2 linked regions of the Arabidopsis thaliana genome follow. The protein of the gene in region 1 binds, or shares a complex with, the protein of each later gene. Each region holds a gene or a part of one and is shown on either strand. Other genes may lie near its edges.

Region 1 (6,433 bases):
AGCACAGTTCTATGAAGGATAAGGAAAAGAAGAGGAAGAAGAATAAGCGAGAGAATAAGGATGGTTTTACTGGAGAAGATATGGAGATAACTGGGCGTGAAAGTGAGAAACTAGGTGATGAGGTTTTTATAGTTAAGAAGAAGAAGAAGTCGAAGAAGCCAATAAGGATTGATTCTGAAGCTGTTGATGCTGTGAAGAAGAAATCGAAAAAGAGAAGTAAGGAGACAAAGGCTGATTCCGAAGCTGAGGATGATGGTGTGGAGAAGAAATCCAAGGAGAAAAGTAAGGAGACAAAGGTTGATTCTGAAGCTCATGATGGTGTGAAGAGGAAGAAGAAGAAGAGCAAGAAAGAATCTGGTGGTGATGTGATAGAAAATACTGAAAGCTCCAAAGTATCTGATAAGAAAAAGGGAAAAAGAAAGCGGGATGATACTGATTTGGGAGCTGAAGAAAACATAGACAAGGAGGTGAAGAGGAAGAACAACAAGAAGAAACCAAGTGTGGATTCAGATGTTGAAGATATCAATTTGGACTCTACAAATGATGGAAAGAAGAAAAGGAAGAAAAAGAAACAAAGTGAGGATTCAGAGACTGAAGAAAACGGCTTGAACTCTACCAAAGACGCAAAGAAGAGAAGGAAGAAGAAGAAGAAGAAGAAGCAAAGTGAAGTCTCTGAGGCTGAAGAAAAGTCTGATAAAAGTGATGAAGACTTGACCACCCCATCTACATCAAGTAAAAGGGTGAAGTTTTCTGACCAAGTGGAGTTTTTTCCTAGTGATGATGATGAAGGAACGGAAGATGATGATGAAGAAGAAGTTAAGGTGGTGAGGGGTAAGCGGTTTACAAAAGAAGAAGATGAGATGGTAAAGAATGCTGTATTAGAATACATTGATAACCATGCTTTAGGAGATGAGGGGATAAAGATGGTTATGGAATGCAAGGCATACCCACAACTTAAAGGCTGTTGGAAAGAAATTACATCTGCTTTACCTTGGAGGACTTATAATAGTGTGTATCATCGTGCACATACTATATTTGAAGCAGGATCTCAGGGGATATGGACGAAAGAGGATATTGAACTCGTTATGGAGTTTCAAAAGACACACGGGAATGATTGGAAAACACTTGCAGATGCAATGGGTAAGCACAGGAAGCATGTGAAAGACGCTTGGAGGAGAGGAAGATTGGCAGGTAAGAAGAAAGGACATTGGATGAGGGAGGAGTATCAAAACCTCTTTGACCTTGTCAACAAAGACCTTAGAATGAAAGCATTCAAAGAGAAACACTCAAAACATGGTATGCTCAAAGATAACATCCCTTGGATGGCTATAAGCGACGTACTTGAAACACGGGACCACGTGACTTGCTGCCAGAAATGGTATGAGCAGTTGATATCACCAATGGTAGCAAAGGGAATGTGGGCTAACGTTGATGACTATAGGCTCTTGGAAGAGCTTTTGAAACTGGATGCTGCTTGTATCGACGATGTGGATTGGGATAATCTTTTGGAGAATCGAGATGGAGAAGCTTGTAGAAAACGGTGGAACCAGATGATCATTCATATCGGCGTACCGAAATCGAAAACATTTGCAGAACAAGTTGAGATTTTGTCTGACAGGTATTGCCCTGACATAGCTGAGGACAGAGAGGATTTTGACAACAGACCCTATGATCCTGAAGATTAAGTTTGGAACCATACCTTACATGTTTTTCGGTACTTTTTATTGTTTGATAATATGTGTTGGTACTTTCTTATGTCAGCAGATAGAAACTCTGAGAATGTATTTGATTTTGATAACCCAGACTATTATATAAATGCTACAGTTGGTTTTGACAAAAAAAAAAAAAAAATGCTACAGTTGGTTTTGTTTGGAGCTTTTGTTGGAAGAGTTTATCAGCGACAACAATGAGTTTAGCCAGGTTTTAGATACAGTCACCAAGGACGATAGCAATGGCAATTAAGGCTTGTAAATTCGGTAATGAATGATATGAAATAGTGAAGTAACCACCCGAAGAGAGTACTAGTATTTAGTAACGTATAGATTATTTCATAGCATTTGGTATTCGAGATAAATGTATCATGAGATTGAAAACTCATAGTTTGTATTTGATGAAAGCTAATAGAGAGCATATTTGCCGCGATTATTCTCTTGTGTTGACTCTTCTATTTGTAGCCATAGCCTATAGGACTTACCAAAGGTTTCGTTAGACAGATATTAACACACTAATTTATCCATCTGCTTGGTACTAAAAAGGTATTTTGAGAGTAACATTGTGGTGGGTTCTCTTCATGTCTCTCTTCGATTTCTTCCGAACACTTAATATGTAGCAAACAAGATTGATATATGGTAGTCACTACCTTTTCCACCACCAGAATCTGATCAACTAAATGCAGAGTACACTAAAGAACAAAGGTAGCAAAACAACGAGAGATTATAGCCAATCAAGGATTATAGCAATGTGAACTTAGTTATTCCAAGAATTACATCTATCAAAACGGTAAAGTCATTACACAGTCACACTGTGACCAAATCAAATCGAACTGGCAATGTAGCAATCACCATGTCGATATATATATCACAAACAGTGCCAAAAAGTCTCAACCCATCTTAACAGACTATGAACCACCTTCAGGAGTAGTAGTTCTCAGCGAGCTTCGTATTGAACAACTGCAAGAGAATAAACCATCAAATAAATTAGCCGGAAACAAGTTTACAACATCTACATTTTGTACAAGAAAACCAACAGATTAACAATCTCAAGATAAATTCGGAAACCGGATCCTTAGAACATTTGCGTTATATAAGACACACTGAAAATCGTTCCATCAGTATCATAAACTATGATCAAGACTTAAAAAAGGATCCCGATATCATGTATATGTTGAGACGCATTCAAAATGGTGCCATCACTTTTATAAACTAGGAACAAGATCCAAAAAAAGAGGAATCAAAGAAAGCTAAAAACATTACAAAACAAAAGGAGGATTAAGAATAAGTCACCTCTACGGGTACGCTTCTTGTAGAGAATACGGTACCCACACTCTCTGCATTGGATCACATCCCCAGACTTCAAAGTGTTCTCTTGACCACAATCTGATGATACAGAAAATAAGAAATTAAGCAAACCCATAAAACGAAGACAACCTTTTTACTTATGAATTTTGGTTTAAAAGTGTATATGTCTGAGGCTGCTTGGGAGAAGCTTGATACTTAGCAGAAGCAAAGCTCCTCCTCAAAAAGACCTCAAGTCAAATAGATCAATACAATACAGTAAAGTATTGATGATCAAGATTGATTTATGCCTCCTAACTAAGCCAGATTATGAAATTTCCTAATAGATTAGGATTCATATGGCTACTCAAAAGAGGCAACTTTAGCATTTACTTTCACAAAGCTACAATCTTTTACAGATACTAACAAAACTTTGATTTCAAAGCAAAATTAGATGTTCGATGAAGTTTTCAAGTCGAGCTTACCTCCGCAGACGTAAGTAACGGGTTCGGGCGCTGGATCCATGATTCAACAAAGAAACAGTACGCAGAAGTTGAATTTGTTTCAAGCCACCGGACAAGATGTAAACAAAACCTTGAGCGTCTAAATTTTCTCAATTGGGATTTTAGGGTTTTTGAGGAGGAATTAGAGGTTTTAATAATTTCGGTCGAAAAGACGAGGAAAGAGATTCGTATGGGCTTCTTAACAAAAGTCTATGGGCTTACAGAATAAGCCCAAATAAAGTTTCGTTGGTCAACCTTGTCTGTTTGACTTTATGCCACATACTTGTTGCTATTGGCACTTTGTGTTCTAGAGTGAGATATAAAAACTCTATTATCTGCCATAATGCAACAAATTTTTAACATGATAACAATGTCTAGGATGGTCTAAAGTACATACAAATGGGTGGATTGATTCTTAATATAGAAAGAATTGCGGATGGGATGGTCCAAATTCCATCTCCGCAGATCAGACCTGAAGCTACTGCACCCGAGTAATCATCTGCGTCTTTCTTATTCATCCGTTCCCATACGAGCATTATCACGGTTCCTACGAACATGTCGATGGCGAAGTAAGCTCCTATGTAGAATGGACCAGCCATTGCCATTGGAAGTGGTATCAACTTAGAGATCTTTGGTGGTGTCATGTCTCTAATTAGATTTACAATCAGAGCAGCGATGAAGAATCCACAACAAAGTGCCAAACAGTGTTTGGGCAGTTTGGCAAAGCCTTCGACCCCGAGAATAGCCATTTCGCGGTAGATGACCGCGTAAGGTGCTTTGTATAGACCATCAGGATCTCCAATATCAAAAGCAGTCCAAAACAGCCAGAACGTGAGAGGAGCGATTATGCAACCCATTGCTGTACCCAAAAGCTGAGTTACAAACATGGATTTTGCAGATGATAGTGTGAGGTAACCTGTTTTAAAATCCTGCATGAGATCCGCTGCAGTTGAGACGATTGACATCATAATGCCACATGCTGCTAAACCGGCAATGACTCCACCATTATTTCCTACAATTGAAGCAACGATGAAAAGACCAGTCTTTCCGTAGGTTGAAGGCATGCTCATATCTGTGAGCCCGGCTCCATAAGAATTGCAAAAAGCAAGACCCGGGGCAACTAAGTATGAACAGAGGACAAAGTACCATTTCAATGGTGGGAATATCAACGGGATTATAGCGGTTGAAATAGCTGCAAGACCCACATAACCAGAAACCGCAAACTCGAGGGGTATACGGTCCTTGAGAAATATGATATCTCTTTTCTTCTTCTCCCGCATTAATACTGAGGTCTTACTTTTATCTGAATTAAGAATGGAGAAAGAAACTCTTAAGAAAATATTTGAGACAGACGTTGTCAGTATGGTCATGAGAGACACCTTTATTAATAACTATGACTATTACTAACAAACGCGATTGTGAATCAGGATCATATATATTCGCACCTAAAATGTCGGTAAAGACAGGTAGGTTGTGTTGTCTGGAGCTTTTGTTGCAGATTTCCTTCACAGTGACAACAATGATCTTAATGAGGTTGTAGAGACCGTCACCAAGGATGATAGAAATGGCGATAAATACCTATAAGTACAGTAATTATATGAAAGAGAATCAGTAACCACCACAATGAGAGTACCTATGAAATTCATCTACTAACATTAAATTCTTCCTACTTAATCGGTTTATTGTGTACCTTATATCCATAGAGACCTTTGAAATCGTTGGCTTTAAGGTCAGCTGGATACCAGTCCCCAGCATGCTGTGATATAAATGGCCAGAGAAAACCCCAAGAGATGATAGCACCAAGAAGAACCGAACAGTTCACCAAATGGGGACATATCATGCCACATCCAATAAAAGTAGGACTGAAATCAAAGTAAAACCTGCACAGCAGAAAAAATCATGACTCGTTACCAATTATATCCACATGCTAAACCATTCTCATTTACTTATTGTTAAACTGTACGAAATTGGTTAACTTACGTGTTCTTGAATAGAGTCAAACCAAGTGTGGGAAAGTGATCAAACCCACATGCACCTCCAATACCACTAAAGAACCACTTGAAGCAACTCCAAACTAAGCTAAGGCTCAGGTATTTCCCAAGACATTTGACTTGTTTTCTGATGTGAATAATATTGGAGATAAATTTTTAATGAAACTCAAGCAATGTTTTGCAGGGAGTTGAATATTGAAGATGAATCTCTGACAATTACCCTGCAAGCTCAGCTCCAGTATTGTTGTGGAAACTGTTAATCAACATTGCTGTAGCGGTTCCACTGGGATACGTAAGCTTGTAATCCAAAATCATCACCTAAGATACACTATTGAATAAGGATCAACAGATCAAACAATAGTGTTCTCTTAGATATTTTGTTTTGATTAATACTAATATCGCAGTAATGAGACGCTACCTTGCGAAGTGGAACGAGACAGAAGAGACCGAGGAAGCTAACTACAAATAAAAAGCCAGTCATCCACCACAATCCAGGATTTATAACATCTTCAGGATTGTTTCCAGGATAATCAGAACCAATGAGCTTATATGTCCTTTCATCCATAGCTATCAAATACGAACCAAATCCTCCTAAAAAAACAAGAAACTATATCAGATTAGGCACACAAAAAAATCAAACTTGATCATCATAAATCTGGAATAGCTACAGTTCCCTTCAGCAAAGTCATCAAGTGGATCCAAAGTTAGTATCATCCATATCTCCCATTGTTCATCATCAACACATAGGAATTGAAACTAAACGTAACCAAATCAAGAAGATTACTATTAACCCATATCTAAGCAAGTAACGATTTTTACCGCTATAAGCAAGGCCGTAGCAGGAGACAACGCAAGTCTGAATAACAGTGTTCTCTTGCTTAGTAAAGGGTTTAGATAAAAACCCTAATTTAGACAAGAACCCAGTCCACGACTTGATGAAGAAGAA
Region 2 (5,514 bases), on another chromosome or scaffold:
TCTCGCGATCTTAATCTCAGCAGAAGAAGAAGAAAACGGAGCCATTGTTCTCGTAAGCGTAGAGATCTTCATCTCTCTTTTCCATAGATGAAGAGAACCTGATGATACCATTCGGCGCAAGGCCAACATTTTCCAAACCCTAATTTTGATAACCCTAATTCTCTAATATATAAAACAATCAAGTTGCCTTGTTAAAATCAGGATATGATCTCTCTTATATTAGTAGGTTACTTACACAATTACCTACATCTTTGTCGATTTGTCAGTTTGACTTATGAATCAGTCTACTAGATTGTAAAAATAAATAAAACGATGAAATGTCTATAATACCCCTAACTCTACACACGTGTGAACTTTTTGAATAGTACTGGACCCGGGTCAACCACACACAGTAGACACGAGCCTTCTTCTTCTTCTCTAAGCGAGTGAAGTAAGCTTACCAGTGGCAGTGAGTGAGCTCTTACCAGTGTTTAGGGTCTTCTGCAATTTTCCTTGTTTTGATCGGGAGCTTGATCAAGACTACTGATGCTGAGATTTACGAAAATTGCCAACGGTCTCTATGTTCCCGGTGACAGTGAAGCTCTTTACGCTTCCAAGTTTCAAGACTCCACTGCTACTTTGACTTCGCCTATCTCGCTGGTACAAGGTCTGTGGAGGTTACAGTATGGGTGATAACCTTTTCCTTCTGCGAGGAAAGCATTGTCTCGGCTTTTACTTTTGTTCATAACTTGTGGATATTGGATAGTAAAGCCTACCACTAATGGCATAACATTCAGGATGCTTCTTGGTGTGCTATGATTTGTTATAAGCGAATCACTCTCGTTGGCTAAACACTTTGAGAAAATGACTCTTAAAATGCTCTCTTGGGCTATACTGGAAACTTGCTGTGTTCAGTGGATCTTCAGGTCCTTGTTGACAACCATTAACAAGCTTAAGGTAAGAATAAAGAAACCAACAATACTTTCAGTCCTTTGATGATTTATAATTCCATAACAGACTAAGGGCAGTGCATATAGATATCTTTCGTACTCATCTGCTTTTTCTGGTCTCCATCACAAAAGCCAACTAGGTAATCATATCAATCTCTCTTTACCGTTTACTCGACCTTTTCCAATCAGGTGCTTCTGGTGTGTCTACTACTATCAGTTTTAGGTCTTTGTATACCTGATCTTATCTGCTACTGAGGCTTGTAAAAGTGATTAAAACTGTGACATTTACTCTAAGAGAAGTAACCTGTTTGATGCATTTCCCTAATATACCGGTGTGGAAAAGTGTAGGTATCTGTACTCAGCTGAAATGGTGGACGATTTTGAAGAAGATGAACTCTCATTGACTGAAAGCGGGTTGAAGAGTGAAGATGGCGTTATTATCGAGATGAATGTCTCCTGGATGCTTTTATTATCATGTTTGGGAATTTACCAAGGGAGAGGTATCAGAATCTATCTTAGAAGGTTACATTTAGCTCAAGCTTGCATCAACATCTTTACTTAGAGCTCTACGGGTTTTAGTGTGTTTGAAGTTTCTTAACTCCTAGTATAATTAGAATCTTCTGCAGCAGACTTTAGAGTTTTGGGATGTAGAGCTAACCAGAGTCGGTTTGTTTAAACTAGAATCTTTTTATGTAGCAGACTTGTTCAGTACCTGAATACCAGTTTTAAATTACCGTCAGATGTTGATCTTGTTGGTAATAATGGAGAAACGGAAGAATAATTAGACGAAACAAACTCTTTAAGAACGTATCTTTCAGTTTTCCATCACAAATTTTCTTACAAGCTACAAAAATCGAACTATATATAACTGAACCGAATTTAAACCGGAGGGAGGGTTTGACTTTGGTCAATCACATTTCCAATGATACCGTCGTTTGGTTTGGGGAAGCCTCGTCGTACAAATACGACGTCGTTTAAGGAAAGCCCTCCTTAACCCCAGTTATAAGCTCAAAGTTGTACTTGACCTTTTTAAAGAAGCACGAAACGAAAAACCCTAAAATTCCCAAGCAGAGAAAGAGAGACAGAGCAAGTACAGATTTCAACTAGCTCAAGATGATCATCCCTGTTCGTTGCTTTACTTGTGGAAAGGTTGATATTTTCCCCTTCGCTTTGGTCTTATTTAGGGTTTTACTCCGTCTTTATAGGGTTTTAGTTACTCCAAATTTGGCTAAGAAGAGATCTTTACTCTCTGTATTTGACACGAATGTTTTTAATCGGTTGGATACATGTTGGGTCGATTAGAGAAATAAAGTATTGAGCTTTACTAAGCTTTCACCTTGTGATTGGTTTAGGTGATTGGAAACAAATGGGATCAGTATCTTGATCTTCTCCAGCTCGACTACACTGAAGGGTAAGCTTACAATGATTCTCACTTCTTGCTGCTCTAATCATCATACTTTGTGTCAAAAAGAGAGTAATTGCTTTGCGTTTTAGAGAAATTAGCCCAGATTTCGTATTGGGTCTGTGAAGTTTCATATTAGCTAACACACTTCTCTAATTGATAACAGAAGCTATAAAATAGATTTGCTGATGAAGGAGTTAGCTTTTTATAATCTTCTGTGTTTGTGTTTTACTGTCTGTGTCATTGGAAGAGACTATGTCCTGCCTATATAATCTCTATGTGCCTATCTAGATTTTCTATACAATTGATATTTGATAGAAGTAGAAAGTAAGACTTAAGGTCTTTTGATTAGACTTGTGCCCATCTACATGATTCTTATTGGACTAATCATTCTTTGTGTGAAAATAGAATACTTTGTCTGAACATGAGAGAATGGTTCATAATACGTGTGAAGTATGGGATTAGTTCAACAATTTCGCTATTGGAGAAGCAAACCAAGGGTTAATCGTTTATAGGGTTAAGCTAATGCTCTGCTCTTTATATGTTATTGGAACAGACTATTGTTGTGCCTATCTTGTTTAGTTGTAGATTCTATCTCGACTGTTATAAGTATGACTGAAGGCTTGATGACTTATGATTCTCTTTACACCTGTAGAAGGATTTAAGCTTGGTGTCTAGATATTCAATCTGTGTTGGTTTTGTCTTTCTTTTGGCTCTTAGTGTTGTTCAATCTCCTCAATAGGTATGAAGTTACAATATCCTTATTATTTTGCAGGGACGCACTTGATGCACTCCAGCTAGTCAGATACTGCTGCAGGCGTATGCTAATGACTCATGTTGATCTGATTGAGAAGCTTCTCAACTACAACAGTATACTCTCCAAACTCTTATCATATGTTGTGTATCTTTTGACTCGGACGTTATTGTCCTTTTCGATTTATTTACTGGTACCCACGTACTTTTCCTTGCAGCTCTGGAGAAATCAGACAACAGTTAGAAGAGGATGCAAATCTGCTGAAAAAGTTTTCCTCTTTAGAGGCTTAAATATTAGTATGTATGAAAACATTTGGTGTATGTGGTGTAGACCCTTCAACTCCATCTAAAATTATATATGTGTGTCAGTTACTTTCTCGTGTGATTCAATCTCATGATTTCCTGACCTTGAAGATTTCTCCTTTGGATTCATGTTTCATTAGTATTATTGAGGTGATTTTCATGGCCATAACTGAAAACCTTTGAGAAAAGAGTTAAAAGTCACTGGTCTTCATAACCTTTTGTATACAAAACGCAAGTACAACAGAATCGTCCAACTGTTTAGTGTGTTCAGGCTCGGGCAAGAGTTTTCAAATCTTCCAAACGAACGGTTAAAATAAAATGTATAACCAAAGAAGAATGAAGAACACAGTGTAATCATATCTGGCTTATGTAACCCGACCCCGTTCTTAAGGGAACATATCACATTCAAATCTCCAATAACGATCCCAAACCACATAAGATGTGTTATTAAGATCCAATTAATCGGGACTAAAACCAATTCGAGAGAACAAACGAACGATGACTCAGTACCCATTAATCTGTCTTCCTGTTGTTGTCGATCCTACCAACCGAGAGAAGGGTTGCTGCTGCGTTTGGTTGTTGCGGCTTTTGTTAAAACTGTTGCTGCTTCCAATTCCAGATTTAGGGTCAGAGAAAGGAGAATAGGCTTGAGCTAGCTCAAGAGCAGAAGCTGCTTTTCCGTGACGAATCCCTGTTCCATTTGGTGAATCCAGTTTCTGGGGAACCGGCTTTCGCCATGTCTCTGGTGATGGATGTCTTGTCTTCTCCTGAGTCTGCTGTTGCTGTCTTGCGCTCTTGTTTTCATTTTCACGCCAGTTTCTCCTCTGAGTTTCGGATCTGGCAATGTCGCTTACATTTCGCCCATCCTTTTGGTCGAATTTCCTCGTTCTCATGTCACGTGGAGAACTCACTGGCCTTTGACTTGCATGCTCTGGAACTCTTTCAATCGGTTTGAGGACCATCCTTTTGATATAAAAGAAAAAACAAAAACAGAACTTTAAATTAGATAGTTGGTCTCAATGGAATCGTAAGTGTTGGATCGCAGAAAGTATACACAGAATGTGAGTGGGTAGAGAAACCCGTTCTACCTATCTGTCGGTTGATCCAATTTGTGATGCTCGGGCTCATCAATGCCTCTCTCCTTCAACACCTGTCCAGGAAATCAAATGATGATAAACAAATGGACAACATAACAAGAGTGAGTTATACAACAAGATGAAACAAACTGCACTCACCAGCTCTCGTGGTCTGGCACCACCAAAAACCGCACTTCTGCACCAGCCAGTACAAATTTTAAGAACAATTCTTCTATATAACTATAGTTATGTCCCCAAGCTCCAAAATAATTATTACCGAGCTGGGACAAAAAAATGTAAGTACCACATTGTTACCTGTCCTTTTCAGTTTTAACTTCTGGCTGCTCAAGCAACTGTGCCACAGGCTTCAGATTCAACTTGGGCCGCTCAGCCGGCTGGTTAGGAATCTCATCTGTAGACAAACCAGATTTTGAATTGTTGAAACTTTTCTGTGTCGCATTTTCACGTTGTATAAGGACTGAAGCACTATTTTCCTGCAGATACAAAACTGAGGTATCAGAAACATAGTTGAGGAAAAAAGAAACCTGAAAACTAAAGTGGCAGTTCAGAAACTTGTAACAACTATACCAGTTTTTCGTCATTCACAGGTTTCTCCACACTTTCAAGTGGTTTTGTCCGAGGAAGCAGGTTCAGCTTAGGTCTTTCCACAACTTCAGAAGGGGCAGTTGGCTGCACCAAATGTCCAGCAGGCTTAACGTCAGAGTATTTTGGATGAGGTTTATCGTTGGTGTTTGCTACAATTTTCGCTTCCTTAGCATCCACATAAGTTGGACCAGGGATTTTCTCATACTCACGGGAGAGTTTTTTCCCACGCTGGATCCCATCTTCAGCAATCAGTGCCCGTTCTACATGTGTTCCATGTGGCTCAACCCCTTGACTAATCACAGGGCTATTAGTCTTATAAACTCTGGTATCTATCTCTGAATGCTTAACAACATCAAAACCCATCTGAGAAGGAACCAAAAGCTTGGACTGCCATCCTCCTGAAGACACTTGGTCAAGCGCACTTGTATGGACCAAATTCGAAACA

Evidence for each region.
Region 2: NRPB12 (region 1) and NRPB10 share a complex: the UniProt entries of both Arabidopsis thaliana proteins name them as parts of the RNA polymerase II.

The regions. Positions count from the first base shown.
Region 1 is NC_003076.8:16,421,135-16,427,567, reverse strand, and holds NRPB12 (DNA directed RNA polymerase, 7 kDa subunit), read right to left. Parts: upstream 3,650-6,433; 5' UTR 3,519-3,649; coding exon 3,479-3,518; intron 3,323-3,478; exon of another isoform or gene 3,179-3,322; intron 3,096-3,178; coding exon 3,003-3,095; intron 2,670-3,002; coding exon 2,647-2,669; 3' UTR 2,244-2,646; downstream 1-2,243. Other genes in the region: AT5G41025 (uncharacterized protein), read right to left, coding at 133-378, 617-889; AT5G41020 (myb family transcription factor), read left to right, coding at 1-1,685; YSL4 (YELLOW STRIPE like 4), read right to left, coding at 3,871-4,799, 4,942-5,074, 5,187-5,376, 5,477-5,614, 5,708-5,805, 5,906-6,078, 6,307-6,433. UniProt on the Arabidopsis thaliana protein: DNA-dependent RNA polymerase catalyzes the transcription of DNA into RNA using the four ribonucleoside triphosphates as substrates. Component of RNA polymerase II which synthesizes mRNA precursors and many functional non-coding RNAs.
Region 2 is NC_003070.9:3,860,478-3,865,991, forward strand, and holds NRPB10 (RNA polymerases N / 8 kDa subunit), read left to right. Parts: upstream 1-1,921; 5' UTR 1,922-2,042; coding exon 2,043-2,078; intron 2,079-2,281; coding exon 2,282-2,340; intron 2,341-3,106; coding exon 3,107-3,201; intron 3,202-3,302; coding exon 3,303-3,328; 3' UTR 3,329-3,597; downstream 3,598-5,514. Other genes in the region: AT1G11470 (Pentatricopeptide repeat (PPR) superfamily protein), read right to left, coding at 1-45; AT1G11480 (eukaryotic translation initiation factor-like protein), read right to left, coding at 3,891-4,350, 4,476-4,537, 4,623-4,659, 4,779-4,957, 5,052-5,514. UniProt on the Arabidopsis thaliana protein: DNA-dependent RNA polymerase catalyzes the transcription of DNA into RNA using the four ribonucleoside triphosphates as substrates. Component of RNA polymerase II which synthesizes mRNA precursors and many functional non-coding RNAs.